Linked DNA regions of Caenorhabditis elegans. The protein of the gene in region 2 purifies or fractionates together with the protein of the main gene of each other region. This does not show direct contact. Each region holds a gene or a part of one and is shown on either strand. Other genes may lie near its edges. The genes, in order: C45B2.6, nsph-3.2, B0250.5 and M142.5.

Region 1 (9,148 bases), on a different chromosome or scaffold from region 2:
AATGAAAACTACATACCTGTGATGGCATACTCTCCACATTAGATCCACTAATTTTGATTCCCGCGTACATGCAGGCTCTGTAGTGTGCTTCAAGAATGTGCCGACCGAAAACTCGATCCGACCCAACTCCACAATAGTATGGGCCCTGTGGTGCGGGAAATCCGTTGACAGGCCAGTTGTACGGATGCTTATCTGCGCCGAGCAGTGTGAACTCTTGCTCCATTCCAAACCATGGCTCTTGATCTTTTGCCTTCTCCATGTTGTCCACGCATTGCTGACGCGTGTTTGTTGCTGGAAAATAACATGTTTTGTGAAATTTCAGACAAAACTAGGAAATGTATTTTCTTTATTCTCATATTTTATTCAAAGATTCAAACTACACTGATCCTTTCAATTCAAAAATTAAAAAAAACTCACGATGAGGTTTATTGTCGTGTGTTAGTGTTTCACAAAGGGCGATTTTGTTTGGCCCCGGTCTAAACGGATCACGGTATAATGCGATTGGTCGGATGTACACATCAGAGCCTTCGCCAAGTGATTGACCGGTCGAAGTTCCATCGAAATTCCAGATTGGGAGATCTGTTGATATACAAAATTACTTTCCAAAATTCTAATTATAAGCTTACCAGATGGAGTTTTCGGCTCGAAGTCAAATGTCTTGGTCTTTCCTCGCATATTTTCCTGGGTTGCATCAATCCAAATGTACATTACCTGATAGTTGTTGTATTGGTCTAGAGCCATGTACTTAGCATTGAGCTCCGAAATATCTGAAAAAGAGCAACTATTCATTGGGTTTTATATGATCAAACTTACTGTTCGTTCGGGCCCTTTTGTTTGATCTACCGTACGACATGTTTGAGAGCTAGCGAAAAAGATGTTTCTGAAAATTAAAGAAATTGAGAAAATTGGGAACTTTTAATTCAATTTCGAAGTTAAAATAAATTGAAATGAAACATTTAATAAATAGAAAAGTTTGGGACACACAGATTGAAAGAAAAGTAAAACTTTAAAACCTTAAACTAGAAAGTAAAACTAAAATGGAATGAAACACCAACTAACGACGGGTTCGGTTTTTCGGAGAGTGTATATGTCAAAGGAAGGATGAGGAAGAGAGAGTGTGTCAGCATATTGATGCAGACAGTCATGCGGGGGGTTAGAAGAAAAAAGACGCAGAGAACCAACTCAGCAAATGACGGTTCACTTCATATAAGTTTACACAAACGCCATTCAGATGGATGGTGGTTACAAAAGGAGCATAAGAAACTCAGAGATCGGCTCACGACCATATTGGTGTAAGTACCTGCCCTTTGCCCAATTTGTTACCTCATGCGGTTTGTGAAAAACGCAATGTACTCGACAGAGAGAGAGAGAGAGAACGAGAGACCGCAGATAACAATCAAAGAATGGGAGGTGGTGGTGGGAATCGTTGCCATACAGTCAAGAAATCAGAGACCAAAAGAATACAACTTCAAATGTTTGAAAAATGAAAACATTATTCGTCCGAAAGTCACAAGTGGAGTGGCTGTGGAGCTATGATACGTGTGATAGTAAGTTGTAAAACGGAAGTTTACACATTCTTTATTGATATTCTGATAAAGTAATTTCGTTTTATCATTCTGATTCAAAAAATCAGACTGATCAAATTAAACCTACTAATCGGAAAAGTGTGGCTGCCGCTGCTGCGCACATGTACTTGGTAGTCTGGGCAACAATAAGGAAAACGGCAAAGTTGGTTTTATTGAACGAAAAAAAGTGCAGACTAGATACGTATGTATATGACAGATGCTATTTTTTCTTTGTATAAGATCAAAGGAGCAAATTCTCTTCACTGATTCTTTGGTTGAGAGAAAAACATTATTATAAAAAAAAGCTGAGTGGCACTGAACGAAAATACTTCTTGATGGATTTTTACCTCTAGTAAAAGACAGAGAAGATAAACAAAAATGGAAATACGACAAAGCTTGAAAAAATATTTACTCGGTTCAAATAGACTTCTATGTATTATGACGGAATGATTTTTCACAACTGAGACTTAGAATGTATACAAAATTATGAACTTATGTGTATTCTCACATATGAGAAAAGCAAAACTAATAGATTATTGAATATCTGCGAGAGGGCTCAAATTATTTGAGAATCGAAGAAAGCATGTACATCTCATTTCGCATTGCGACAGCTTCATACTGCAAAAAGTCAATACATAATGAATCAAATTGTCATCCATTAGGTTACCTTGACAGCGAGCATTGCATCCAGCAACGCACTATCATCCTTCTCGTCAATAGCAACTGGGAATTCAAGGTTTGGAGTGAAACGGAAGAAAGCCATTCCCATGGCTTCAGCCATCCAACGAGCCCGTTCGACGGTTACTCCATCAGCTGCTGTGAGCTGAAAGTGTGGAAAAATGAAAGGTGACAATATAATTAGATGTTTTCCCCGAAAAGGTTGTTAATCCATTCTAGAAAGAAAAAATATTGGAAATAGAAAACAAAATTAACAAAAAATTAAGAAATAACAGTTCCGGTTTATCGAGTGTAAGTCATATACACTCATGTTTTGAACGAAGCTTTAGATTTACGAAGAAAACTTGTCAAATTAGTCCATGTAACTATTTTAGCACCGAAATCACACTTCAAACTAGAATTTGAAACAACCATTTTTGGTTCAAACTAATAAGTCAAAACTCTTTTCAGGATGCGTTTTCAATATGAGAATAAATTGAGATGTTTTCAAGAAACATTCACGTTCGTTGCTAATTATGAAAGGCACCGGTGATTAAAATTAACGTAGTTGGGCTTTTCTGCTATTGAGTTGCCTAATAGTGAGCACACAAACTTTTTGACAACTTTGATTGAATTACATTGACAGACTTATTGATCTGCGCAAAACTTCAAACTTTATTGGCCATTTTTATCTGAAAAGAATTGCTTGCAACTCACCTGCTCAATAAAGACGTCTTTTAAGTGAAGAATCTGGTTGAACGTGTTCACAATTCCACCCATTGTTGTTGGCTTCATCAAGTCAACATTCTCAATTTTCTTTTGCATCGACCCAGTTCCAATTGAAACCATGATCTTTGACACATTACGCTCGTTTCTCTCATATTCCAGGCGTTGACAATCAGTAAGAATGTCAACAGCTGGATTATTAGCGATTAGTCCTCCGTCCATAAACTTTCCATCAACAGGTGGGAAGAATGATGGCGCCGCTCTGAAAAATACGAATCAAAAAGTGCATTTCTGTCCAGCTGTGACTCACGAAGAAGCCCTAACAACTTTTGCAGCTGCCCAGACAGGCTTCATGCCAGCTTGATCAAATGACGGGTCTCTGATGTTATAACTGCGGAACATGTAGAGTAGCGGAGGGCTGATATCGACTCGAGCAACCGGGATACTGATGCGAATACCATTCTTCTCACCGAGTTGCTGGAGCGTATCTCTTCCAAATTCATTTAGAAGAGCATTTTCCAGACCTTCGCCAGAGTATGGTCTGGATCCAATGAAAATATCATCCTGAAAAAATAAGATATTGCAACTAGCACCTGATCTTCCATATCATAATCGCTTTTCTCAATGTTCATTTTCCTACTTTCATTCTGAAATATTGTCTGATGACATGGTCAATATTTCCGTACTTGACCAATCCAAGAGTGATCATTGATCCAGTTGATGTTCCACCGATATGATTGAACCAGCGCAAGAATTTATTTCCAACAACCTTTTCGATCTCCTTCAAAAGCTGAAGAGCCAGAATTCCTTTCATACCACCTCCGTCAATAGACAAAATGACTGAATCTTTCTTGGTCAATGGCGGGAAGTTTTGGCAACGACGATGAGAAGGGTTTTCTGAAAGACGCAGAATGTTATAAAGCGAATAGAAACATATCAAAGTTACCCAGATTGTATTTAATATTTTTCTCTTTTCCTTCTTCAAGTGCTTTGAAGTGTTTTTGCAGAACTTCTGCACATTTACGTCTGGAATTTAGTGCAGCTTTCAAAATTCGGTCGGTGGAATGTCCATCAAACGCCAGAAATGCTTTTACAATATCGACGTCATCTCTTTCAAGAGCATAATCCATTGGAGACATTCCTTTGTTATCAAGCATATTAACATTCGCGCCGTGCGACCAAAGAAGTATGATTGTGCTTAGGTTTCCATTTTTTGCTGAAAAAGTTACGAGTTGCCATTTAAATGTAGTTCAGTTTACCTATATAATGCATTGGTGTGAGTCCGTTCAAATCTTGAGCGTTTATCATTTCAGCTTTGGCAAAACTGAGCATCAACTTTTGGTGCTGGAAATTTGATTAATAAAAACAATATAGTCATTTCAACAAACATCTTTCACGAAATTGTCAAATGTGTGAAACACATTCTTCGAGTTCAAAAGTCTCCCCAAAAAGTCCGAGTCTTGCACGTAGAGAATTCTCAGCACTCTGAAAAACGGTACTAATAAGATAGATACAATCAATGTGGCAACTTACGATTCAAGATCTCTCAGTGAAAATGATGATTTGTTGAGAACATCTGCCGGTGACAATAAGCAATGTGGCAAGTTATTTTTGATTGAGTATTCTGAATATGTTGATAAAGAAAATGTTGTAATTTTTGGTATTCACCTAGAATTTTCTCAAAAGATCGCGGGTAATCGGGAGTTTCGGGCTTGGGATGAGTTTCTGCGGTTATGATCATTTTGTCGCATACTTCTCCGGTAACATGACTGTTGATGTACTGCAAAAATATATTGTTTTCCAAATTTGTTCTTACATTGAAGCATTTTTTTTTTCAAAATATAGAATCGGAAAAACTTGTATACAAATTGAAGCTGCAAAAATCATCCAGCAAAATGATCCGGAGCACAGTTTTCATCTGTACGGATTTTAATTTTTCAGTGAGTCCCACCCATATGCAAGCTTTTTTCGTCAGACTTAACCAATTTCTATAGTTTTCATTTATTGATATAACGCCTATTAATGTCTATTAAGGCATTTGTTTTGTAATTTTCAGCAAAATCCCCCCAAGACACATTTTTCCACCTCGTATCTTTTATTTTAATAAATATTCACCTTTACAATTTCTGGACGATGACGTGCAACTTGCAAAATTGTCTGACCATTATGATTCATTGTCAATGGATCGAAATATTTGTCCCAGACCATTTGAAGTAAACTAAGAGATGCAAATCGAGCGGCAACATGAACGGGAGTATCACCTCTTCTATTTAGTTTTGACATTGAGAAGCTGAAACGGTTCAGTTTTTGTTAACTCAATAAAACTTGATTTGACAGTAACCTACCCATCTCCTTCTTTCTTTTTCTCCTCCTTAACATAATTTGAAAATCCAGAAAAAATCGCAAAATATACTGCTGAGCACTCGGATTGTAATTCCTTTTCTCTCAGCATAACCGGTACCAAATCATTAATGACGTTGATAGGATTGTTCAGATGTGTGATGGATTCGTCAAATTCTTTCCACAAATATTCCAGATCGTCAATGTAAGATGCATTCTTATTGAAATAAACAACCTGGAAAGTTTCTACGTGTATTTTTAATGTTATTTCAGCTTACATAGTTGTTTGGTGTGTAGACAAGTGCATATCCATCACCATATGTAGCTTGTGAAAAGTTCGTAGAAAGCTTTGAGTTGATAGAAAATTTCAAGGTTTTATCCACAGGTCCCGGCCACTGAAAATTGTGCAAATAAATAGGTAAAGGTTTTTAATAATTTAAAAAACCATAATCTGGGAGCACATTTTTGACACATTAAAAAAACATCGTTTTCCTCATCGTTGTGTGGTAGTTTTTTAAACAAAAATTTATAAAAAACTATAGAAAAAATATTTTTTAAATTTATTTTTAGAAAGTGCATGCTCAAGTTTTTTTTTCAATTTTTCATAAACTCAAAATGTTCAAAACTCACCATCGATTGTGCCTGTGGATTGCTGGCTTGAGACGTTGAACCAGCTGCTTTATGTTGAGCATCCGCGTATTCTTTGATTTTATCCTCCACGTTTTGTCGGACTGTGTTCATCGCCATCTGGCCGACGTCACTTTTGGCAAGTTTCATGAAAAAATCCATCTGAAATAACTGTGTTCATAGAAATATGATGTGAAACATGGAACAAACTGGAAATGGAATATAACAACAACAATTAGCATAGGTGTCGTCAAATGTGGTGTCAGGTCCGCATGTACACTTTTGCGGACTTGAGTGCACTATACCACTTCAGATGAGAGGTTTCCGTTTCCTTTTGGTTTTTCTCTAAACAATACAAAAAACGTGTTGAATTTCTAGTAAGAATTCGTTTTTTTTTCTTTTAAACTATTTGTGAATAATTAATGCGTTCTCTGCGGACATTGTTTTCCCGCCCTCACCCTTTGCCCAGACAGTGCATGTGTTCTTATCGATTTGTACAGCTGTTACTTTTTTCGATTTGTTTTTTTTTCTAAATAGAAATGACTTTCAAGTTTTACTGTTGTATTTTGCAGCAAAACTTACAATAAAAAACTATTGACTAATACCCAAAAGTTTCCCACCCAATTCGATGCAATCCATTTAAAAGCCCCCACTTAAATGATAGAAAAGTTACCAGCATCTCGAACAAATCCGGTTTCCGATAGATTCGCTCGATCGTCCATTAACTCAATCCGTGCACTTTTCCCCCTCAGTTCATCCCCATGAACTTTGATCTAAAACTGTTGTTGGTTTGTTTTCAATTCAATTGCTTATTTGGAACCATTTTAAAACTGGGCAAAGAGTCCGTTTTTGCGATCAGAAGATTGTCCTCTTTTTATGGTTTTAGAACTCTCATTAAACGTCAACTTGTGACCTTTCGGAACGTAATTTCGAATGCATGTCTCCTAGTGTTTCCGTTTTTGTTCAATTGCCAAATATCCTTTGTGCCATCCTTTTTCTTTTTACCACTTTGATAGATAACAAATGAAAGACAAAGTTATAAAAGTTGAAAATAATATAATATTTCAAACCTAACAAGATTAATTGGTTAAAAATCTGTTACTTATTTTCGGAATATATCCGTTCCTTTCCTTCATCCACTTTATCAAAGGAATGTGTGTAATCTTTGAAAGTATGCTCCAAAACACTCATTACTCACACACTCTTGTCTCATAAACGTGGTCCCGTTGCTAGATGGTGCCGGCGATGATACAAGAGAGAGAAAGAGACTACAAACGGGAGTGCGTGTGAGACAGCCTAGCTAAATCTACCAATCCTACATTTGACCTTTGCCACGAACCAAGATGGCGTAAGTTGCAGAGGCCTGCACCGTCGATCGTCGAATGTTTACATAACCTATTCATAGAGTTGGTTTTAGATATTCGACTTTTTTATCCCTAGAAACATTTTTGTCGACGCATCATGTAAACTTTGTTTATTAAGTATTACCATATTTTCCCTTTCAGACATGCACCTCCCCCCCCCCCCCCCCCCATTTCTCTACTTTGGCGGCTTTTTTAAGTTTTATTTTTTGAAAAAGTAGAAATTGTTCCCCTCGATAGACTCAAAATGGCCTTAAAACCCAATTTATGAGGAATTTTTCAAAAAAATGTCTAAAAGTTTTACATTAGTCCCCTTTTTTGAAGCTAATTCTGCATGTTTTGGTAAATATTTTTCAGTTCAGTTGATAGAATACTAAATTTGGATAACTATCGATTAGCTATGTACTGAGAATGTACTGAAATATACAGAAAACTTTGGCATAAACAGCCTAAGTACTCAAGAAGTGGTGATAATTGAACGAAAACAATCTACATGCTTCTGCAATAGGTACAAGTTGGTAAGATTCGAACTCACTAATTTACTGTCTATTTCAACTTATCTTCAATTGCGCACTTTTTATGTTACATTCTCCAACTTTGAACACACATTCCGACCTTGTCAATCTGTTTGTCAAAGAGAAAAAAGTCTTTAAAATTCCGGGGGACATTCCTTTATCTCGTTAGTGTCAAAGCCTACCGGCGGCATCAAGTAGAAAACAATAATTGATATCAGATTGATCCGAATTTGAAACGACATCGAACTAGTTTTCGCATTCTCGCTACATTTCAATGAATTGAGCGTGTATGTGTGTATTATATGTGTATGTGTGCTTGATGATATAGGCGATGATAATAACACATACATACGCACAGGAAGGTTTTCCCCCTGTGGCCACACCGGTGGAAAGTGAAACCATCGCAGCCGAGGATTGAGATGACACGGTGATAGGATCTCCTCATCTTGTCCCCCGCAATTCGATTCTTGCCTCGTTGTCCTCAGGTTGATGATATATGCTTTTAATTAGGTTAATCAAAACATCAAAGCCCTTTTAACTCTGCCTCCATAAAAATTTTCTCCGCGTGGGTCTCAACGCTCATTTCATTTTTTCGTTTCACTCGGCAACAAATCAAGACATTTGTCAAACAAAAATCAAGAACTGGATTTCCGTTCATTTGGTTGTCGGCATACAAAAAGTGTATTCCAATAGCTCAAACTCGGAAAACCGTTGCATCTTGTATTGACAAGGTTCTTCATCTTTTTTTATTTGCACCGTCTCGTCATGAGTCTGTACTGCAATTAAACATACTAATTGAGCGATGTCTACAGTTCAAAAATTCAGGGAAACACCCACTAATAGTTTTGCTGCTCACTGAGATTTCAGGAAGCTCCAAATGATAAGTGTCGAGAGGTCGAGATGTTAGGTGGTTGTCCAAGTTGTTCTATCTCTCTTACTCACATCTCTTACTCCCTCTTCACCCCTTCCTGTCGTGTATATGTGTGTGTGCGTATGTCTGGTTGTGTGTGTTCTTCTTCATTTGACCGCTATCGATTGATTTTATCTCCAACGACATCCTCCCCTCATCCGTCCGTTTTGCCCCTCCGCAGCTCTTTATCAATTGCCTTGGCCGCATCATCCGCGACCCACCGTACTAGTTATCTTTCTCTGTTTCCTCCATTCAATTGATAACACTAGAAAATGGCGCGCGTTCAACAAACACAGTGCCATTCTCCATTTCTAGCAAACAGTCCAGGTTTCGAACTGTTTTTTTTCTACATTGTGCAAAATGAGATTGGATTTCTTATCGACAGTGTAATAAAATCTTAGATACCTAGATTTTGTTTCTCATTTTTCTTTTTTTTTTTTCTTTCGG
Region 2 (6,874 bases):
AAGCCAGAAAAGGCGAAAGTGTCGAATGTAGGATATTCATTTGCGCGGGAATTCAAACATAATTTGACTCTTTCGAACATTATGCAAAATTGAAAAACACATAATAAATTTTAAATAATTTTTAAAATATTATCAGTTATAATTTGTATAATAAAGCTCTATTCTGTCATTCAAAGCAAAATTTCAAGATGGTCATATTCCACCTTTAAAATTAGACTGAATACTTTTTATTTGTTAATAGTAAGAGATGTTGCCTTTCGTAACTACTTTACAATTGTTTAAGGGATATGCTTTAATTTTCTTTTAGCAACTTGAAACTTTCATTTTTAATGGAGATTTAAAAAAAGAGACCTACCAAATTGAAAATTGTGATGTCCTGGGTAGGTTGGGTAAGGATAATTTCTCCAAATAGGTTCCATAATTTTTCAACGAAAGGACCTTTTCACGAGGCAATCAACCGTTTGGACGCCCTCGGATGCACACATACACCACAGTCAAATAGGCTCCACCCACTAGCCTCCAACACTTTTACTATATTCTTCAGGGCACCTGTGGATTAGGAAGAGAAGGAAATATGGGCGGAGCTTTTGAAAGAGACCGCCCATCAATTGAAAACGATTGGATAGAGAAGTCAGCGGTTCTCGGAATACGGGGAAAAGGGTTAAGGTTCAGGATTTAGTTGAGGTAAGGAATCGGTGGTAAAAACTATTTGTTTTCAAAATGTCAACTGAAATCAACTGAAACTGAAATCAATTCTAGATTTTTAGTCAAATCCTGCTTTTTGCAATGAAGCTCATTTTAAACAACAAACAAAACACATCACACAATATCACACAATTTATTTCATAAGCTATTCAGTTCCATTTCAATCCGTTCAGCCTTTGCGGCTCATCGAGCGTTTGACCTTCTGTTGGCTTCTGCTGCGACTACGTCTCTTGGCAGGAGTCTTCTTTGCAGTCGAAGCACGACGTCCACGAGCCTTCAAGGATGAGCGGCGACGAGAGCGGCGACGAGAGCTTCTGCGAGACCCGGAACGGGAGCGTGAATAAGAGCGACTTCTGGAGCGGCTTCTGGAGCGGCTTCTGGAGCGAGAACGCTTCGACGAGCGAGAGCGTCCTGTGCGTCCATACACCGATCCACGAGAAGACGAACGGCGGCTCACGGATCCACGGGATGCGCTTCTCACAACCGATCGACGAGACGAACGGCTGGTTGATGAACGACGACGACGTGGTGATGGAGAGATCACAACAACCAAGCTGAAAAGGAAAAATATTTGCGATGAAAAGATAATATATTTCTGCTTACCTTGGCGATTTGGCAGTGTGCGTTGAGACCGAACGGACTGAGATTCTGCGACTCGCTGGTCTCCCAACACTACGGCTTCGACGAGCACGAGATGCGCTTCTGGAGCGGGAGCGGCTCACGACGGTCCTCTTGGTCTTGGCAAGAGGAGTGAAGCGTCCTTTTGAGTCACGAGGACGAAGTTTGTTCTTCTGACTCTTCGACTTCGGCATTTGCGGATGATTTTTGATGGTCTATTTAGTAGACGAGACGAGTGTTATACTGATTTTAACAGAAAATCTCAGACTTTTATACCAAACAATTTTTGATGACCTTTTGAGATAAGAGATTAACCACGTAAAAAAAATATATTACACGCATTGAAGTTTTGTCTTTGTGTCTTTTTGTCTCTTTTTCTTATTTGTTTCATTTTTCTCGCAAAAATTGCTATGGTTGTCGAAGGACCGGATGATCGAGAGTCTATTCGACTTTTGATTGGACAGATTCGGGATCTTTACAAAGAAATTGTGCATATGAGAAATGAAGATTGAGAGCAATATAAGCTAATGAATGGACGGTTGGAAGCAATGGATAGGGATAGATCTTTCCGTACCAAGAAGCGTCGCAAGATCAATAAGGATAAGGATAAACCAAAATTGGACAAAGAAAAGAAATCAGCTGCCCAAAAAATTGTTTCCACATCAAATATGACGAACACTCTCAAGGCTACGGATGAGAACAAGGTGGCTGAAAAAGAAGAATAATGAACTTGTTGTAAAAATTTCTAATTGTTTATGTGGGCAATAAATGAGTATTTGAGTTTTGAGTTGTTCCAAAAATAAAAAATATTCATGTTATGTTTCGATAATGTTTCTTCAAAATTTAAGTTTATTTTAATTGTTAGAATTAACTTTGATAATGAGAATAATAAAATTAAAAGCCAACCTGTTTTTTTTGCTGGCCTGGAAGGGCCTAATAACAATATGGAGCAGGATTGGATGTATTCGATATATGTACATTTGAAAAGATTAATTAATGATGATCACCAGGCGCACGAATCGAGCAAAAGATCAGATTTTCAAGCATCAAGCTTCAAGAAACCCGTGTTCGTTCAAGCTTTTCAAACTTTAAAGCAGTTAAAAAAACATGCTTCGACAAACTATTAAATTCAGAAAAAATAAAAAATAATAAACATATTGTTTTAACATACGGTGTTTGTGTTAGCGGCGTTACCGGCGGCAAAGGCCCCACTCTCTAATTGAAGCTCTAATTTTTAGAAACCCGAGGTTCCAGAAAAAACTGAAAATCGGAAATTTGAGCAGTTTTTTCCAAAATTGCTTTTCTTGCTTTCAGGGGTTTTCTTGCTTTCATCGATGACTCTTCAAATTTGTTCTTTTTAATAAATATTTAAAAGTTTAAATTAAAAAAGAAACACGTAAAGAAATCATCCCAATATGAAAAACAATCCGTTAACCGCTTTAAAAATAAGGAATAAAAATTTTAGAATAATTAATTAATTTCTTCGTGACAACATAGCCATTGGTCAATTGGCAAGAAATTTCGTATAAAGCTTGACGAAAACTGACTAAATCAATCAGTTGTTACTCATTCCAACACAACGGACTGCTGCGACAAGTGCCTTTGAAAAACCAATGCCGAATCCGCCACCGAAAGAAGATACTTGGGCATTCCAGCCAATCGGAGCCCCCTTCCCGCCGAGCCCGGTAAAATGTATGGGTGAGCAGAATATGTACGTGGCTCTGTGGTACAAGCACGGAAAGCCAATCCATGGACGTTCGTGGAATAACGGAGGAGTTGTCGAGTGCTCTTTCCCGTACAAGGAGGCTGAACTGACCACCAAGCAGCAGCTTGAGGGTCAGATTCAGGTTCTTCAGTACCTTGGAGATCACAACAACCAAGGTTAGTTTCTTTTACAGGAGTAACCCAAAAATATGTTTCCATTATTCAGGTTTCTGGTACGAATGGATCAAGTACAAGGATCGTATTGAGAAGATTGACGATAAACATCAACTTGTGCGTTGTGGTGATTCATTCCCAATCTTCTGGAAACGTGCTGAAGGAAACCTCCTCGGATATGTGGACAACAAGACTGAGGAAGCATGGTTCTCGTTCAATGGGAAGGTGATTAAGCAGCTCGGGCCACAGCTCAACGAGATGTACATCATCACGCGCAACTGCATCGGAGGACCACCACATTGCCCATGTGCTGTGTGCGGAGCTGCTCCACCACCACCAAAGCCAGTGCCACGTGTCGAGAGAGACGAATGGATGGACATTCGTGAGGGAGATCCATGGCCGACTCGCCAACTTGTCAAGGCTCTTGACAAGACTCTGGACACCCTTCCAGGAGTCAATCCAGACCAATATGTTGCTCTCTGGTACATGCAAGGTGAACCTGTTATGGGTCGTGTCTGGAATGAAGGAGGAAAGGTAAGGAAGTTCATTTTTAGACGAAACGATTCATTTTGCACTTGCAGGTGGCTGCCAACTTCTCGTGGTTCAACAACGAGTATTGCAAGAATGTTGGATCTATCCAGCTTCTCATCTATCTTCCGGACAGTGTTCGTGGTTTTGACTATGGATGGATCCCATTCCCGGAGGCTGCTCAGTTTGGAGACAAAGCTTGGCATCCAGTTCATGTCAACAACCACAAGGGAGATATCTCCGTTGGAGTTGTTAACGTTGCTGGAGGAAAGCAGATTCTTGCCAAGGTGGATGTCCGTAACGAGAAGTATGGTTATGGATACCAAGGAAAGGAGCATTCTGCAACTGCCAAGAACTGCGCTGATAACACCATTGTTCTCTGCCGTAAGGCCAAGGCTGGATACAAGCTCGACGGATAAGTACACACCATATCAATCAACTACGGATGATACCTTTTTCATCAATATTGATTAATAAATTTGTATTGTCCGCCACATCTCCTCGCCAAAAAATCAACTCCTTCGCTGTAGAATTGAAATGAAAAAAATATAAAATTCCAATACATTTCATAGTCTTATTTTAAAATTTCAACTAATATCGAAGACGCATTCAAGCTTATTTTTTCTTCAAATCTTTATTTTTCATGGAGCTCTTTTTCTTGTTGGTAGTGGTCGTCGGTTTTTCCTATCCTTGTTGTCTCTTCGTAATATCTTTAATAATCTTCTATAACATCACGTCTAACGATAACATAATTTCCAACTTTTCAAATGCTCCCATTTTTAAAGTATGATGCAGCACACTCTGTAGAAATCATAAAATTTATTCACAGCATTCAAGTGCCAAAACGCCGCCTGCTACAAGGAGCTAACTATCATTTCTGTAGTGTTTTTGACGAAAAAAGGTATACAACTTTGAATTTTTGTATTTGATTCAATATGAATACAACAGCTAAGTTTGAAATGCACACGATAAAGTCAGTTGGGAAGTAGCTAAAAATATACGTATTTTTGAGAAAAAAAAATCGATCAGCGGATATTTCGGTTAATGTCCGTCCACCCTTGCTTCCAACCTCGCCCATCTCGGTTGGATCGGACCCATCGCAGATCCAGGCGTACTTTGTTCATTTGAATCGGAATCTGCCGCTCGTTTGGCAATGGGTGCAAATTTGATTATTTTGCTCGTCCTCTTCCGGTGATGTCCTGTTCGCTTGCCTCGATGACGACTGTGAACCAGATGTTCACAGCTCCAAAAGTAGTGAATATAGTCCCGTATGAGCCCGCAGCCGGCCCGCCGGCCACGCGGGTCTTTGAAGTAGCACCGAGACCGTAAGTCGTCGATGCACCATATATAAAACGGTTTCGGCCGGCTGGGGCTTTACATTCATTTATTGGTAGAATACGTAGGAAAAATAATTAATACAATATTGGAGATTGTATATATAGGTATGAAAAGTAGGCGGAGCCAAAATGCTGTGGTGACAGAGATAAGAGAGTTTAGATGGGGACAGAAAAAGGTGGGAGGAAAGTCGGTGTACATCAGAGGATGATTGTGTTTGACTCAGACGTTATTAACAATTGAAACAATCAATCAAATATAAATCAATTTTTATTCATTATTAAATTCCTTAGATTTTGCTTGATTGAGGTATGAATCATGCAATGATTTCATACACGTCACCTGTTTGTATGCTTTTGCTCGAAGTAACTGCGCTGTCTACTCGGAGTTGCTATGCTCCGGTTTGTCTGAGTTCCCGTTAAAACTTTTGGCGGGAATTCAAATGTCTCCGATTTTTTCTCTTAAAATCTTCCAAAATTTTCTGTTTGAGACTAAGAAAAAAAAAGTAAGTCTAAGAAAATATGAGAAACTTCGTAAAGCTTTGGAGAAAAAAATCGTTTTGTTTCGTGAAACTTTTTGAGCTCAGATCCAGAAACCTATATCCAGAAACTTTTGAAAATATATGAACAGCAGAAACAAACACGAAATTTTTGGAAAAATTTAAATATTTCAAAGAAATTCTAGAAAAGAGAGAAATCACCAAAAATTCTAGAAACTACGAAAAAATTCTACTTGAGACAGTTTTTTGGAAGGTTCAAGACACTTCGGGTTATCTAAGGTCAATTAGAAGTTTTTGAAAAAGTAGGACATTTTTTGAAGTTTCATAATATTTTCAAAAGTTTCAGTTTCCAAAAACCCGTGAAATTTTCAGTCTTAAAAATTCCAAATAAAACAAATAAAATTGAAAGGGCTAAAGTTGTGTGAGTTTTGAAATGCAGAAAGTTATAAACACTCCAAAAAATTTTTGTTTTTTCAAGGACCCTACCATACCATACCTTACCTTACCTTACCTTACCTTACCTCACCTTGATTTTCAATATTAAAAAAACTATTGGAGAAAAATAACATTTAACTTTTTCTTTTTTCACGCAATAAAAATTTTGTTTCACCATATCATGGATTTAATTTCACTTGAATTAATTTCGCTTTCATTCGGCCTTATCAACAAGTATTTTTGATTTTTTGTTTGAACACAGTATGACTGCGCCGGTAAGTTATGTCTTTTACGTGGCTGTAAACAAAAATATTACATATAATTAGTAATAGACTATCAATTTTATTTATCGACAGCACATAAATAATGGTATACAAAACTTTGGCTTGAAAATCTTCTATAGAATTTCAATTAAATCGAGATTTTTGAGCCCTAATTGTGAAAATTTGGAACATTCCACAAAAATAGATCGGGTTATTATAGAAAAAATACGATCGCACAAAAATAAACAACGACGCAACGACACTCCGCTGTTTTTAAGCCCCGCCCACGATTTCATTTGCACTGCGGCCGACGCATTTCAGTGCATTGCGTCGTTGTTTATTTTTGTGCGATCGTATTTTTTCTATAGTAGTTTCTCGTACCGAATATGATCAAAATCTAGAATTGATTTAGGTCATATTGAAGAATAAAATGAAAATATATTGTTTAGAAATCAATTATTTAATTGAGTTTTTATCCTGTGTAATTTCACCCCAATAAGTGGTTTTTTTCAGATGAATGCCGTTGCTGAAGTGAAAGGAAGACGCGGTGTCCAGCAAAAGAAAAACGAAAAACAAAATGAGTACAAAAGAATTGGAAGAGAGAAAAGTATGT
Region 3 (8,903 bases), on a different chromosome or scaffold from region 2:
ATTCCAGCAAGTTTCCACGTTAAAATCTTCGCGAGCCGTCATATCACTAAAATTCCTTATCTACATAGTGTTCTTGACACATCATTAAATTAGTTGCTCGCGGAGCAACAACTGCAAAAACGGTCTTCGTTCGGAACACGTAAGCATGCAAACACGCGCTGGAAGAGCAAAGTGCATGCGGTCACAAACATTTTTTCTCGGTATAAAATGCCAAGCGGGGTGCCACATTTCGGCATAGGCATCAATTTTCACTGCTGCTGCTGCTGAATCAACACTAAAAATGGCCGAGAAACGTGAGTTTTTGGATGTATGCTTATTTTTTCAAGAATTCATGTTTTTTGTTCAATTTGAAAAAAATTTAACAATAAGACCGAAAATGGCGAAAAATTGAAATTTTCAATTTTTGTTGATTTTTCGGCAGAAAAAAGTATGTAATTCTTTAGCAAGTTATTGTTTTGATTTTTTACATGTAATTGTACAATAACCTCATATTCCAGATATTATAGGATACAACACCAAAAAATGATTTAATTTTTTACATTTTTAGATGTCAGGCTGTCCCATTTTGGTGAGATCTACAAAAAAAGCGGGAATTTAGACGCAGACTTCTCAACTGATTTTACATGGTTAAGAACATGCTGACACGTCACATATTTTTGGAAAAAAATTCCCGCATTTTCTGTAGATCAAACAGTAATGGGCAGTCTGACACCACACGCTTCCAATAAAAAAAGTTTATTAAAAATATCGGAAACTACCCGAACATACAACCAACTTGAAAAGTACAGCACACACGTGGTGTCAGGCTGTCCCATTACGGTTTGATCTACAAAAAATGCGGGATTTTTTAACCCAAACAAATGTGACGTCAGCACGTTCTTAACCATGCAAAATCAGTTAAGAAGTCTGCATCTCAATTCCCGCCATTTTCGAAGATCTAAGTAGATCAAACCACGCAAATTACCTAATAAAAATCCAAAAATTGAAAATTTTCGGATTTTTTGTAGGTCTCCTAATACCCTACTAATATGTAAAAAAAATTTCAGTCGCAAAAGCCAAGGAGGAGATGACAGCCGCCGGTCTCTCGCCAGAATCCATCGAGGGAATTCTCAAAATCGCCGCCACTTACAAGAAGAAGGACGATGAGCCAGAACGTGATGCTGCCACTTCTTTGGCAATTATCACAAAAATGATCGGAGAGACCAATGAGTATATTAAGGGACAATCGGAAGCCGATCAGAAGATCTACGCTGTCATTATTGAGAAGAAGAAGGCCGAGCTTATCGAGGCCGCCAAGAAGCAATAGATTTTCTTTTTGTTTTGAAATTTTATTCTATTATGAGCTTGTAATAAAATAATTTTTGTAATTTTAAACTTGTAATGGTCACATACTTTTGGGAAAAAAATTCCCGCATTTTCTGTAGATCAAACAGTAATGACACCACGTATTTCTAATGAAAAAGTTCCTTTAAAATTTCGGAAACTGCCCGAACCTACTTGACCTACTTGAAAAGTAATGTACATACATGGTGGCTGTCCCATTACGGTTTGATCTACAAAAAATGCGGGATTTTTTTGCCCAAAAAGTGCACGCTTTTATCCATGCGAAGTCAATTGAGAAATCTGCATCTCAATTCCCGCATTTTTCGAAGATCGAAGTAGATCGAACCACGCAAATTTAATTCAATTATGAGCTTGTAATAAATAATTTTTTTGTAATTTTGAACTTGTAATGGTCTTTCCAAGTGATTTTTCATGGAAAATATATTCTTGTAAATTTTTTAAAAATCTCTATTTTTTCTTATAAAATCAGCTTTTTTTTCGATAAATTTTTGTGACAAAAATTGATTTTTTAAGATTAATTTTTCGATTAAAACCCTGAAAATTTTAAATTTTTTTTCGAATTTTTTCGATTCGATTTTTTCCCAGACAGTTTTTCGAATTTAAACAAAAAATTCATAAATTTCTATTTTTTTCTACATAAAAAACACAATTTGGCACATAGAAAAAAGGCGGAAAAATCACATAAAATATGCTTAAAAATTGGAAAAATCCTGAAAATACGGGGCTTCAAATCACATAAAATATGCTTTAAAAATTTCAGAAAAAACCGAAAATTATGAGTTTTGTTTCTTCAAAAACTGATAGACGACACCGAAATCCTTTGCCTGGTACTGTGGATCACGAGCCAGAATACGGTAGATTTGATGAGCCAGTGAGCCCATTGGAGTTGGTGCTTGAGTATTTGTTGAAGCATTTTGAGCCAATGAAAGGTCTTTTGCCATTAGAGTCGTTCCGAAGCCGCCAGCATAACCCTGAAATTGGAAATTTTAGGTTGATCGGCGGAATTTAGGAGACTTTCATTGAAATTTTTGAATGAAATTTCTGGCAAATCGGCGAATTGGCACATTGCCGGAATTGAAAATTTCCGGCACACCGGCAAACCGGCAATTTGCCGAAAATGAAAATTTCCGGCAAATCGGCGAAACGGCAAGTTGCCGGAATTAAAAATTTCCGGCAAATCGGCAAACCGGCAAGTTGCCGAAATTGAAAATTTCCGGCAAATCGGCAAATTGAAGGAATTGAACGTTTCCGGCAACTCGACAAACCGGCAAGATGCCGATTTGCAAAAATGTTCCAGATATTCGATTTTTTTTTTGAAAATTTCAACTTTTTTGAATTATTTTTAAATCAAAATTCCTATTAAAATCATCAAAAAATTGGAAAGTTATAAATTTAAGCTAAAAATTCAAAAAATGGCGAAATTTAATTTTTTAAATGAATTTTTTGAGGACAGAATCAAATTTTGAGATTTTTTTTTTGCATTTTTACGGATTTTCAGTCAATTTTCCATCCATACCCTGCACGAAGGGATGTTTTCAATGACTCCGGGTACTGGATTGTACGTGTCCGACGACCAACACCTTCCTGACGATGTATTCACGATTCCGGCAAGCGCTTTCGCGTCGAGACCCATTCTGTAAAAAAAATTTTGTTGAATTTTTTAGAAAAATATATTTAATTTCAATTTTTTGCGCTGGTCGTTTTACTTTGCTGATGTGGGAAAAAAAATGTTTTTCAAAATTATTTTTGACGAAACTGTTTTTTTAGAATTTTGGTGGGCGGCATTGTTTCGTCAACAAATTGGGCAAATTGGCAAATTGCCGGTTTGCCGGAAATTTTCAATTCCGGCCATTTGCGGGTTTGCCGGAAATTTTTAGAGGGAATTTTTTTCTGAAATTTTCAAAAAATAAACTGATCAAAACTAAAATTTGCCGAAAATTTTGCAAATTCGGCAATTTGCCGGTTTGCCGATTTACCGGAAAATTCAATTCCGGCAATTTGGCGATTTGCCGATTTGCCGGAAAATTCAATTCCGACAATTAGCCGATTTGCCGGAAATTTTCAATTCCGGCAATTTTCCGATATGCCGGAAATATTCAATTCCGGCAATTTGGCGATTTGCCGGAAAATTCAATTCCGGCAATGTGCCGATTTGCCGGAAATTGTTAATTCTGGCAATTTGCCGATTTGCCGGAAATTTTCAATTCCGGCAATTTGGCGATTTGCCCATTTGCCGGAAAAAAAAGTAATGAAAAATATTAATTTTAATCAGAAAACTTGAAAAATTGCCTGGAAACGTTTTTTTTTTCAATTTTTGAAATGGTTTGAACTTTCGGCAAAAAATTGAATTTTCAGCAATTTTTGCTTCAATTTTTTTTGCATTTTCCAAAATCGTTCACCATTTCCGTATTTTCGGCGTTTTTCGAATTTTTATAATTTTCAGAAGTTTTCTGGACAATACTAAATTTATAAAGTATCTTGCCATTTAAAAAATATCAAAATTATCAAATTTCGAAAAAAAAACATATTTTCAAGAGAAATTTCAGATTTTCAGCTATTTCTACTCAATTTTTTCTAAATTTTCAGATTTTCCACATACGAGATGCCTAAATTCATAGTCTCCGCGACAGCGACCATCTGGATTCCCAAAAGCATATTATTGCAGATTTTGGCGGCTGTTCCGTTGCCGACGGCTCCCAAATTCACGATATTTTTGCCCATAAGGCTTAAAACCGCTTCGGCACGCTTGAAAGTTGCATCGTTTCCGGCTCCAACCATAAATGTTAGTGTAGCTTGCTGGGCGCCTGGAAAATTATGAAAATTGAGTTTTTTAGTGAAATTTTGGAATTTTTAGTGAAAATTTGAGATTTTCAGAGGAATTATGAGATTTTTAGTGAAAATTTGAACTTTTTAGTGAAAATTTGAGATTTATAGCGGAAATTTGAGATTTTTTGTGAAAATTTTAGATTTTTAGTGAAAATTTGAATTTTTCAGTGAAATTTTGAGATTTTCAGTGAAAACTTGAATTTTTCTGTGAAAATTTGAAGTTTTTAGTGAAAATTGGAAGTTTTTAGTGAAATTTTGAGATTTATAGTGAAATTTTGAGATTTTTAGTGAAAATCTGAGATTTTCAGTGAAAATTTGAGATTTTCAGTGGAAATTTCAGATTTTTAGTGAAAATTTGAATTTTTCAGTGAAAATTTGAAGTTTTTAGTGAAAAGTTTGAGATTTTAAGCTAAAATTTCGACAGTTTTAGGGAAAAATGTGATTTTTTGAGCTAAAACTCAAGTTTTCTGAAATTTTTTACTGAGATTTCGATTTTTGTTTTTCAAAAAAAAAAAATTTCGGCCAAATTTTTGAGTTTTTAGGCTAAAATTCAAGTTTTCAACTGAATTTTCACGAAAATCACGTTAAAAACATTATTATTTTTCGAATTTCAACTGGTTTTCGCAATTTTCCGTCTCCGAATTCCCGTACCAGTGACTCCACCGGAGATTGGGGCGTCGATATACTCGGCTTTGAGCAAAGCGGCGGCCTGAGCAACTTCCAGTGACACAATTTGATCGATTGTGGAGGAATCCATGCACAGTGTTCCAGGCTGGATGGTTCTGGAATTTAAAAACTAGAAAATTTTAAAAATTAAAAAAATTTTTTTTTTTTGAGAAAAAATTTTATTTTTTATTTTTTTCCCAAAATTTTCAGGATTTTTCGTACTTAAAAATTCCAGCTTCGCCTTGATAGACGGCTTTCACGTGTGGAGAGCTCGGAAGCACTGTGATGATTTCTTTCGAAGCGGCGGCGATATCAGCAGGGTGAGCGGCGACTTCACAGCCTTCTGCCTGAAAAAATCGATTTTTAAACGAGTTTTCTCAAATTTATTGTTAATCTTACCTTAAACTCCTGCACTACTGCCTTATTAACATCGTAGACGATGAGTTTCTTCCCGTTTTTGATCAAATTCCGGGCCATATGGCCGCCCATGTTGCCGAGACCGATGAACCCGGTGAGAGACATGATTTTGCTGAAATTAGTTGAGTTTTAGAGAGAAAATATTGCGAAAAATGATCTTTAAGTGAAAAAACTGAGTAAGAATCAAGAAATTCGCATGAAAATTAATAAAAGCGAATAAAAACTAAAGTAAAATAAATGTGCGTTTGTCCACAAGTTCTACACGTGGACAACAGTGTTTGCGGACTTCGTTACGACAAATTGCGGAAAATTATGAAAAAAGCGATTTTCAGGCGGAAAATCTAAATTTCAAAGAAAATAAATTAGAAAATCGAGTTTTTCACAAAATTTCTCGTAAAATGACATATTGAACTTTACAAACAGTGCATAATACAAGGAAATCTGAAAATAAGTTAGAAAAAATCTCGAAATCGAGCAGAAAAACGGGCGGTATCGGTCAAATTTCAATTTTTTCAATTTTTAAAAAGGCACGTGGAACTTCATAAAAGAAGAAAAAACACAAGAAAAAACGGCGAAATTGACAGATAGGAGAGAAGAGTGCAGATTGCACCAGTGGCAGTGTGGTTGTGTGATCTAAGATGTTTGGGTTTTTGATTTCAAGAGTTTCAAACTGAATTAATTGATAATAATTGGCATTACAATTGGAAAAAAAAGAAAATCTATTGAAAAATTGCCAAATGCAATTTAAAAATTGCCATTTTCGTCTTGGATTAGCTGAAAAATATTTATCCTGAAGTTTCAGAGTATTTCCGGTGAATTTTTCAGATTTTTCGCGTAAAATATTCTCTAAATCCTGTGTTTTAGGGTTTTTGTGTGCATTGTCGTAAAATTTGTAACGCTAACCTCAGCCTACAGTAACCAAAAGCGAGAGTTTCTGTGCATTTTTTCGTGAAATCTGGTGCCTCGTACGTGGACACCGAGCTACCGTAACTGAAAACACCAGACTTTACGACAATTTGCACGTATTTTGAAATGTAAGAGTTGGCCGAACTAGGCCATTTTGACTCAACCACGGCTGGGGTAGATTTACGGCGCGTTGCGTCTCGGTTTTAATTGCAAAACTAAATATATTTGTCCGAGTGGAGTACACGACTTTCCCATGTCTCCGGCAGGCGATTGTCAATGGAGCGCGAAAAATGTAATGAGAAAGGCCAGAATTTCGTGTTCACGTTTTGCCAGGCTGTCCCATTACGGGTTGATCTACAAAAAAGGCGGGAATTTTTTTTTCAAGAAAAATGGTGACCTCAGCACGTTCTTAACCATGCGAAATCAGTTGAGAAGTCTGCGTCGCTTATCCCGCATTTTTTGTAGATCTACGTAGATCAAGCTGAAATGAGAAATAACACTATGACACCACGTGCGTGTTGTCATTGACAGCGATCAGAAGTACGTATTTCCGGAGAAATTTCCGCCTGACAATACCAGACGGGTTCAATTAGAATACCCATATATTCTGACTATTTTCTTTCACTTGATTAGTTTCTCCAAGAATGCTCCTCATCGCCGTTTTAACTACTCTCATATCGATTTTATTCGCCATTACCATCTGCTACCTCAACTTTCTTCTTTTGATCTCAATATTCTGGCGCAAAAGAATCCCTGTAAATTTGCATATGATGCTGACTTACTGCAGATTCGGTGTGGACTTGGTTTATACTATAGTTCTGTTGATTCTCAAAATATATTATATGCTTACAAGGATTTCTAATGACTTTATCATCAAAAACTTATACTTTTTACTTGTATTTCCAGCTGCATCAATTGGGAATATAAGATCAGTACTAACATTTTTAATAGCCCTCGAAAGAGTTATTGCCATATATTTTCCAATTTTCTTCCACATTTATCGACAAAAACTTCCGAATTTTGTATTTTTACTCATAATCCTATCCAGTGAACTTTTCAATCAGTACATGCTTTTTGGATATTGTGGAAATGTTCTTGAAACACCACTAGAGTGTGTAAATTACTTTTGTGCTGTTAACAGTTGTTACTACCGCTACTGGTTTTCACATCAACAAATAGTTTGCTTTTTGAATGGAGCTTTCTCGGTCGTTTTATTTCTTCGGCTTACTTTTTGGAGTTATTTCTCGGGAACTGAAACGAATAAGGATATTTCGAGAGTGAGTTTTATGTACAGTGCAGGGGTCGCCGGAAAACGATTTTTTCTGGCAAATCGGCGAATTGCCGGAATTGAAATTTCCGGCAAATCGGCAAATTGCCGGAATTTAAAATTACTGTAAGTTGGTAATTTGCCGGAATTGAGAAATTCCTTCCGGAAAACCAGCAAATTGCCGAAATTGAAAATTACAGGCAATTCGGCAAATTGCTGGAACTGGAAATTTCCTGAAAATCGGCAAATTGCCGGAATTTAAAGTTACTACAAGTTGGTAATTTGCCGAAATTGAAAATTACCGGCAAATCGACAAATTGCCGGAATTGAAAATATCCGCAATTCGGTAAAATGGCACTTTGCCGGAATTGAAAATTTTCGGAAAACCGGCGAATCGGAAATTTGCCGGAATTGAAAATTACCGGCAGATCAGCAAACCGGCAAATTGCCGAAAGCGAAATTTCCGGCAAATCGGCAAATTGCCGGAATTGAAATTTCCGGCAAATCGGCAATTTGCCGGAATTGAAAATTTCCGGCAAATCGACAAATTGCCGGAATTGAAAATTTCCGGGAAATTGGCAACTTTCCGATTTGGCGAGCGGCAACTACATCAAAATATCAAATTTTCGGAATTTAAAAATCTCGATTTTTTTTGAATTTCTGAAAGTTTTATGGTTTTTTCTCCGAATTGTTATAAGCTATCAAAATTGTTTAATTTTTTTCAAATTTTTTGAAGTTTTCAAATTTTTGAATTTTTTTTTGACAATTTTTTTGAAATTTTAGTGGTTCATTAAAAACTTTTTCGTCATTTTTACAGCTAGATATATTCGTACATTACCATTATTATTTTTTACAATTATAAAACTGTTTCAGGCCACCCGCATAGCTCTTCTCGACTTTTTCATAATGCTATTCTTCAATATCATTCCTTTGTACATCTCTAGTCATATTACTGGTGTTAATTTGGAGATATTGGGATTGTTTATTGTTCTTATCAAGACATTTGGATTTTTGGTTGAAGGATTGATAACCTATCGATTTTTATTTAATTTGAAAATTGACTCTGTCAATGAGGCTACAGTAGTCTCGTAACCTTTTACTCTTTTTGTTGAACTTTGTAGCTCTACTTGGAATTGCTGTATTTTCTTCTATTAGTATAGAAAAGCGCCTCAGTAATTTTATGATTTTAACAAAATTGTTTGCCTATTTTGCAACGATTGTTGACAAATTGTTTTTATGAGATTGAAGTTGTTGAACTTTTTTTTTGCAATTATAATCAGATTTTCTATATTTCCAAATAAAATTGGAATTCTTTCAGTTAAAAACTATTGAGCCCCGACACAGAAAAATTTTCTGAAAATTAGTATTGCACTCTCTAATAGCAAGCGGAAAAGCTGGAAGACTATATTATTGCAACCATACTAATTGAAGAAATACGGCATACAAAACGAATGTATACTGATTGCAGAGAAACAAA
Region 4 (6,681 bases), on a different chromosome or scaffold from region 2:
GATTTATCTGGTGATGGAGCTCGCATCGGATGGTGCTTTGGACGCGTATTTGAAAAAGAATGAGCTTCTGCCGATCGACAAGCGAAATGAAATGCTTCTTCAAGCGGCATGGGGCCTTGAGTATATTCATGCAAAGCCCATGCTCCATCGGGATATTGCCGCGCGAAATTGCCTCTACGGAGACGGGAAGGTTAAAATCTCGGATTTCGGCTTAACCCGTGATGGAACAATTTACCAAATTAAACCAAACACGAAAGCTCCTATCCGATGGCTGGCAGTTGAAGCCATGAAATCCATGGTACGTATCCCCTCATGAGCCCATATAAGATCTATTGTTATTTCAGGTTTACTCCCAAAAGTCCGACGTCTGGGCTTACGGGATTCTTTGCTGGGAGATCTTCAACAACGCAGCCGAGACGTATCCGGGTTTGACTACCGCCGAGGTTGCTCAGCAGGTACCGGATGGGTACCGAATGCCTCCACATCCGTTGGCCCCGCCAGAGATTCAAACGTTGATGACGGTGAGTGTATGGTTAAATCCAAAAAAAACCCCATTAGCAATAGGACCAAATAAAAGTTTATACATAAGTAAGTTAGACTTATTTTAAAGACCCTGAGAGCTTATATGGTGCATCGAGGGGTACATTACAGAGGTGGGCGGCAAACGATTTTTTTCCGGCAAATAAGCAAATCCTCAAATTGCCGGACATGAAAATTTCCGGCGAACGGCAAATCGGCAGTTTGTCGGAATTGGAAATATTCGGCAAGTTGGCAAACCGGCAGAGTGCCAAATTCCAAATTGCCGCCCATCCAGGTAGAATATACTCATACCCCATAAGATCCAATAGGATCTATTTGGTTCATATATCTAAATACTATAGGACCCATACCCCACCAACCACCCCCATAACTATTTTTCCTCAGAGATGCTGTGCGGAGAATTCCAACGATCGTCCAACAATGGCGGAAATCGCACAAATCTTGCAACGCGTCACTGGTCAGCCGCGTCCAAACTTTTTGGCAATCGCCAAGAAGGAAGCTGAAGAGGTATACTAGTACCTATTAAACTGTTTGGTAATTATTTTTTTCAGCTTCTCCTCATGAATTCCGGAATTACAAAGACTACTGTACGGCGTAAGAAGTCCGCGGTTCCAAAGGGATTGTGAACTTTTGAATTGAATCGAGAATAAACTATTTCTTTCAATATCATCTATTAATGCACTCGATAGCCAAGAAATCATTTTGGTGGCCTAGGAGACCTTGAAGTTACTTTTACTTTACTTAGGCCACAGATTCTCGAAAAGTCCTGAAAATCTCTGACGTGGTTTTGAATATCTCATGGTGGTGGGAAAGTGATTTAATTGTGACTTGAGTTTTGTTTAGGTGGCCTAGAAACCCAAATTTTACTAATAAATCTTCCATTTCATAAGATATTTTCCCATATCAAAATTGCCATAATTCAGTGGTGAATGTCATGGAAAAAGATATCAGAGAACTGAAAATTTATCGCTGTTTTTTTGGAAATATCGGAAGACGATGAAATAAAAGAGCAATTGACAGATGGTCGCTGCTGCCGGGCTCCCCAAGTTATCGAGATTTATCTAAATTTTTTGCAGAATTTTTTTAGGAAAGTGATGGTGGAGGGGAGAGTTTTTAGAAATTACATGAAAGTTGCCGAAGATTATAAATTCGTACACTTGTATACAGGCAATTTGAATTTCCCGCTAAAAATGTTCTCAAAAATATGAACTTCAGTCAAAAAAATTGCTGAAAATAGGAGCGTGTTTCAGCGCGCAATACGCAATTCAGGTGCACCTAAAACTGTTTTTCAAAATTGGAGAAAAACTTAGAAATACATTTAAAAAATTACAGTCAACACAATATTCTGGCATTTCGAAAAAAAAAGCTGCCAAATTTTCCAAATTCACAGGCAGGCAGGCAGGCGTGTTAACGCTTACATGGAAGCCCTACAAAAACAATGAATTTTCTTTGCGACTATAGTATACTGTAATTAATTAAATGCTCTTCTCTTAAAAAAACGAACTATAAGTAAGCTAAACTCTAATTGCTTTTAGTTATAAAACACTCCTTATTTCTCAATTTATGACTGAGACTCTCTCCTTCTTCTCCAATTTGAGGTACAAGACAAAATTGATGATGGCTCATAAAGTGTATGTATACTACTTCGATATGCTCCACCGATCTCCTCCTCATTTCATGATTAGTGTCTGTGTGTCTGTGTCCTTGGACACCATTTAGAGCAGCAGTAGGAGCAGCAGATGATGATAGATGACTACGCGGGAAACAACAGGCGTCTTAACTCTCAAGTACTGTGATTTGCATAAAAGTTCGCCGGGCAGCAGCAATGAATTATGTGTTGTGCGGGGGCAGAGGGTTTATGAAATTTATAAAACACATATGCTACATGTTGAGGGGGTTTTGCCACGTGGCAGGGCGGGAAACCAAGAAATTTGAACTTCTTCGACAAAAAATCTCCTCTTGAATCAAACCTGTTTTTTAATGCGAAAAAAAAACGAAAAAAAACCAGTCTTATTACAGGAACACGAAATTCTGAGAATGCGTATTGCACAAAATATCTCGTAGCGAAAACTACAGTAATTTCTTTAAATGACTACTGTAGAGCTTGTGTCGAATTACGGGCTCGATTTTTGAATAGTGACTTTAGAATTGTTTTCTCTTTTTTTTTGATTGATTTTATTATTTCATCTACATATAAATAAATTCTATTAATTCATTTCGAAAATGGAGACCTTAAATCGAAACTACAGTAGTCTTTAAATAATTACTGTAGTTTTTGCTGCGAGATATTTTGCGCGTCAAATGTTGCGCAATAATACGCATTCTCAGAATTTTGTGTTCCCGTAATAAGTATTTGAGTAAAATTAAATGAACATAAAATTTAAGAGCATGACATTTCATGAAAAAGGGTTTTTTTCACGAAAACTAATGGGGAAAACATTTTCAGAGTGAAACAAGCATAATTGATTGACTCCGAGCTCGGATCCGAGGTTATTGCATTTGCATTTCACACTTTTTCGATGGAAAATATTTTTTTTTCGAATATTGATGCAGATTTCCAGATTTTCGCTGAAAATTCATTTTCCATTTCGGTTTCAGGTCACTTTTTGCACGCGGTTCTTGAATTTTAACTCATTTTTCCACGAGAATTTCATTTTTTAAACAATAATCATTGATTTCTTGAACTTTTGCCGCGCGGCCAGCATCGCTTCGTATCGTGTAATTCCCCTCAAAAATCACGACAAACAAATGTTCAGTGTGGGTTCGCAACGGAGCGCACATGCTGACACCTCCCTTTTTCGTCTTTTTCCATCGGCGCCGCAGCATTTATCGACCCGTTTTTGTGCAGTTTCTTGTTTTTAATGCATTTTTTGTTTCAAAATTTTGAAAATAATTATTTTAAAACAATATAGTTGTCTTTGCAGCATGGCTTCGTGTAATCTGACAGCGTCAAACGTTGCGATCGGCGCCTGCGTCGAAATCGAGACGACGAATGGCTTGAGCGCCCGGGGAGTGGTAATTTCGTTCGACACGACTCGCAAGGTAAGAGAATTATCGATTTATTGAATTATTTATTAACCAAAAGCCAAAGTTTCAGGTTTTGGTTCTCGACACCAAGGAAATGGCGATTAACAAGCCAATGATTCGCATTTTCAACTCGGAGCACTTGAAAAATGTGAGTTTTTTCTGGCAAAAATCGGTACTTTGATATTAATAATTAATATTAATTTCAGATAAAAGTGTTAAGTGAAGCTCTCGAGGAAAGCGAGAAATTCGCGCGCGCCAAAACCGAGCAATTCGCCCAGAACAATCCGGTAAACGGTACACGGACCACCGAACGGCTCGACAAAACTCTCGGCGAGCTCACACCGAATCTAATGAAATCACCAGCAATATCGATTCGTGGACAACAAGCCTATCTGCAATTGAAGCGCACAATTCCGGATACATGTTGGTGTGGCGAGGATATCCGTGTGCTCGGGCTCGTGTTGGTTCACAAGCCCTACGAGGTGTCCGACGTGACAAAAGATGCAAAAGCGACAGGATTCGATGAATCGCGTGCCGAAAGTGCCGTACTTCAAGTTCAGAAAATTCTCTCAAAACCAATGACCGAGTATACGGCACGTGCTCCGCTTGATTTCACTATTGGAGCTATTGTGGCCAACTAGTTATCGATTTTTTCCCATTTTTGTATATTTTTTGTCCTAAGGCTGATGGGTTTAAAGAAAAGAGTGGGGAAAATCAAGAAAATCTCTATTTAAACCCATAAAAAGTAACATTTCGAGAATTTAAACTCGAAAATTAATTAATTCTGTGAAAATCGACAAAATTCCGTTTTGAATCGATTTTATTCAGGATTTTTTTAAAATTTAATCTTCAAACTTGAATTAACTGAATTTGAAGCCGATTTAAAAAAAAATCTCGAATTCTTCTATTGAAAATTTCAACGATTTTTAATAATTAAAATTCAAAAAAAAAATCTGATTAAAAAAAAACTTCGTGAAAATCTATTTAATTCTGAAAAATTCGATATTTTTCTTCATTTTTTCTGTGATTCCCGATAATTTCCAATCGTCTTCGAGAAAATGTAATTTTAATCGATTTAATCGACTTAAAAAATTTTCAAAACAAGAAAAAAATCAAGAAAACGTCGTTTTTCAACAAATTAGGTCGAAAATGTTGTATTTTCTCCGTTTTTAATTCAAAAAAAAAATCGATTTTCTTGCTATTTCCCCCTAAAAATCGATTTTTCGAATAAAAATTCATCAGCCGCGGGTCTCGTTTTTCAGGTATCTCTGTCCCTTTCAATATATATATATATATTTTCTCTTCCAAATCAACCAATTCTTCATTGCATTTGAACCTTTTCTCAGCATTTTTCTCCTTTTTTTTTTTTAGTTTTTTTAAATTTGAAATTGCCCCCCGTCCTCAATTATTTATTAAATTCCGCCCTAAAATATAATATATATTTAATTTTTTTCGTAGTTTTTTCTGTTTTTTCTGTGAAAGAATGGGTTAAATTACCATTTTATATCTTTTTTAAATCATTATTTTCTAAAATTGCTCGTTAAAAATTCTGAAATGGCAGTTTGAAAGCATTAAAAATCGATTTTTAAGCTAATTTTCGATTTCTGTGAATTTTTATTTCAAAAAAATCTGAATTTACGAATTTTTGAGCTATTTTTCACATTTTTGCATTCGAAAAAACACGAAAAATTGCCCAAATATTACAGGAATTCCAAAAAAAAAATTAAATAAAGAAATACCGGTTATTTGCTAAATTTAAATTTATTTTTAAAAATAAAAATTGATTTTTTTAAAGAAAAACTGGTTTAGAGAATCTGGTTTAGAGAGCTTTTTCAATAAAAAAATTATTATAAATTTTTTCAACAAAAAAAATTAATTTTAAAGCCGATTTGTTTGAAATTTCAATTTAAAAAAGTGATTTTTAAGCTATTTTTAACATTTTTGCAATCAAAATATCCTAAAAATCGCTGATTTTCACTAAAATACGGAAATGTTCTGCATTTCAGCAGAATTTTCCTTAAATTCCGAGTAAAAGTTGAAAATTTGTGGTTTTTCATATTTTTTCTAATGCAAAAATGTGGAAAATAGCTCAAAAATTCGTAAATTCACATTTTTTTAAACAAAAATTCACAAAAATTAGCTTAAAAATCGATTTTTCATGTTTTCTAAACAAAAACTAAATTTACGATAAAACTGATATTTCAGAATTTTTAAAGAGCTATTTTAGAACAATAAATACAAAATTTCAACTGAATTTTCCTAAAATTCAGTTGAAATTTGGTTGAAAATCTGTGATTTTTCAATTCTCAAAAACTTTCAGCTCGAGTTCTGAAATGTCAGACACTGATGATATTCCACAACTGTCCGCCGACACCCTGGCGGCTCTTTCCATGTTTCAAGCTGAGCAACAGGAGAAAATCGAGCAACTTCAGTCGGGAATCATCGAGAAAATCGATGAAGACTGGCAGTTGAGCCAGTTTTGGTACGATGATGAGACATCGCGGAAACTTGTCGCTGAAGGTGTCGCCGCAGCGTTGGAAGGATCCGAAGCAAGGCCTGCAAGGATCGGATGTGTCTCTTCGCCCACACTCGTCAAGTTTTTCCATGAAACTGAGGTGCATCAGATGAAATTTTGATAGAAAATATGGGTTTTATTGGAAAATTGAAATGAAAATTGCATTTTTTAAATCTTAAAATTTAGATTTCGCTGGCTTTTTGGAATTTTCGAATTTTCAGCCAATTTTTCCTTTAAAAGTCATTCAAAAATTGCAATAAAACCATTTAAAAACTTATTTTTCTTTTTTTTTCAGAAAAAAAACTAGAAAAAAATCTATACTTTGAGCCAATTTTCGGTTTGTAAATAGTAAAGAAAATCCAGTAAAATCTCCTTCAATACCTCAAAAATTGATTTAAAAAATCTTGAATAACATGAAAAACTAGCTCAAAATACACATAAATAGGTTTAAAATCGTTGTTTTCGGCTCAAAAATGCACAAAAATTACTAGAAATTGACATTTCTGCAAAAATTCACATAAAATATTGCAAAATTTGAAAAAAAAAGTTTTATGTCAAAATCAACTTGAAATACACTTTTATAACGAAAAATTAACATT

The links.
Region 1: the proteins of nsph-3.2 (region 2) and C45B2.6 fractionate together in Caenorhabditis elegans (co-fractionation; one large-scale study listed by BioGRID). This does not show direct contact.
Region 3: the proteins of nsph-3.2 (region 2) and B0250.5 fractionate together in Caenorhabditis elegans (co-fractionation; one large-scale study listed by BioGRID). This does not show direct contact.
Region 4: the proteins of nsph-3.2 (region 2) and M142.5 fractionate together in Caenorhabditis elegans (co-fractionation; one large-scale study listed by BioGRID). This does not show direct contact.

What each region holds. Positions count from the first base shown.
Region 1 is NC_003284.9:6,049,987-6,059,134, reverse strand, and holds C45B2.6 (phospholipase A2), read right to left. Parts: upstream 6,078-9,148; 5' UTR 6,036-6,077; coding exon 5,919-6,035; intron 5,684-5,918; coding exon 5,567-5,683; intron 5,524-5,566; coding exon 5,294-5,523; intron 5,239-5,293; coding exon 5,064-5,238; intron 4,729-5,063; coding exon 4,617-4,728; intron 4,573-4,616; coding exon 4,482-4,572; intron 4,434-4,481; coding exon 4,337-4,433; intron 4,293-4,336; coding exon 4,208-4,292; intron 4,165-4,207; coding exon 3,895-4,164; intron 3,846-3,894; coding exon 3,589-3,845; intron 3,513-3,588; coding exon 3,259-3,512; intron 3,211-3,258; coding exon 2,940-3,210; intron 2,389-2,939; coding exon 2,233-2,388; intron 2,184-2,232; coding exon 2,127-2,183; 3' UTR 1,962-2,126; downstream 1-1,961. Other genes in the region: gln-1 (glutamine synthetase), read right to left, coding at 17-291, 418-579, 627-767, 814-853.
Region 2 is NC_003282.8:10,109,994-10,116,867, forward strand, and holds nsph-3.2 (Nematode Specific Peptide family), read left to right. Parts: upstream 1-2,876; 5' UTR 2,877-2,936; coding exon 2,937-3,204; intron 3,205-3,253; coding exon 3,254-3,735; intron 3,736-3,782; coding exon 3,783-4,148; 3' UTR 4,149-4,294; downstream 4,295-6,874. Other genes in the region: egl-38 (Paired box protein 5 homolog), read right to left, coding at 356-419; spch-1 (SPerm CHromatin enriched), read right to left, coding at 875-1,259, 1,309-1,517; C04G2.10 (Protein kinase domain-containing protein), read left to right, coding at 5,507-5,569, 6,775-6,868.
Region 3 is NC_003283.11:20,490,386-20,499,288, reverse strand, and holds B0250.5 (putative 3-hydroxyisobutyrate dehydrogenase, mitochondrial), read right to left. Parts: upstream 5,366-8,903; 5' UTR 5,359-5,365; coding exon 5,236-5,358; intron 5,184-5,235; coding exon 5,059-5,183; intron 4,953-5,058; coding exon 4,822-4,952; intron 4,149-4,821; coding exon 3,944-4,148; intron 2,979-3,943; coding exon 2,861-2,978; intron 2,316-2,860; coding exon 2,118-2,315; 3' UTR 1,944-2,117; downstream 1-1,943. Other genes in the region: dct-16 (DAF-16/FOXO Controlled, germline Tumor affecting), read left to right, coding at 281-293, 1,047-1,306; srbc-79 (Serpentine Receptor, class BC (Class B-like)), read left to right, coding at 6,804-7,436, 8,300-8,518.
Region 4 is NC_003281.10:10,927,744-10,934,424, forward strand, and holds M142.5 (AD domain-containing protein), read left to right. Parts: upstream 1-3,457; 5' UTR 3,458-3,465; coding exon 3,466-3,582; intron 3,583-3,631; coding exon 3,632-3,715; intron 3,716-3,773; coding exon 3,774-4,208; 3' UTR 4,209-5,018; downstream 5,019-6,681. Other genes in the region: Protein-lysine N-methyltransferase M142.8, read left to right, coding at 5,901-6,182.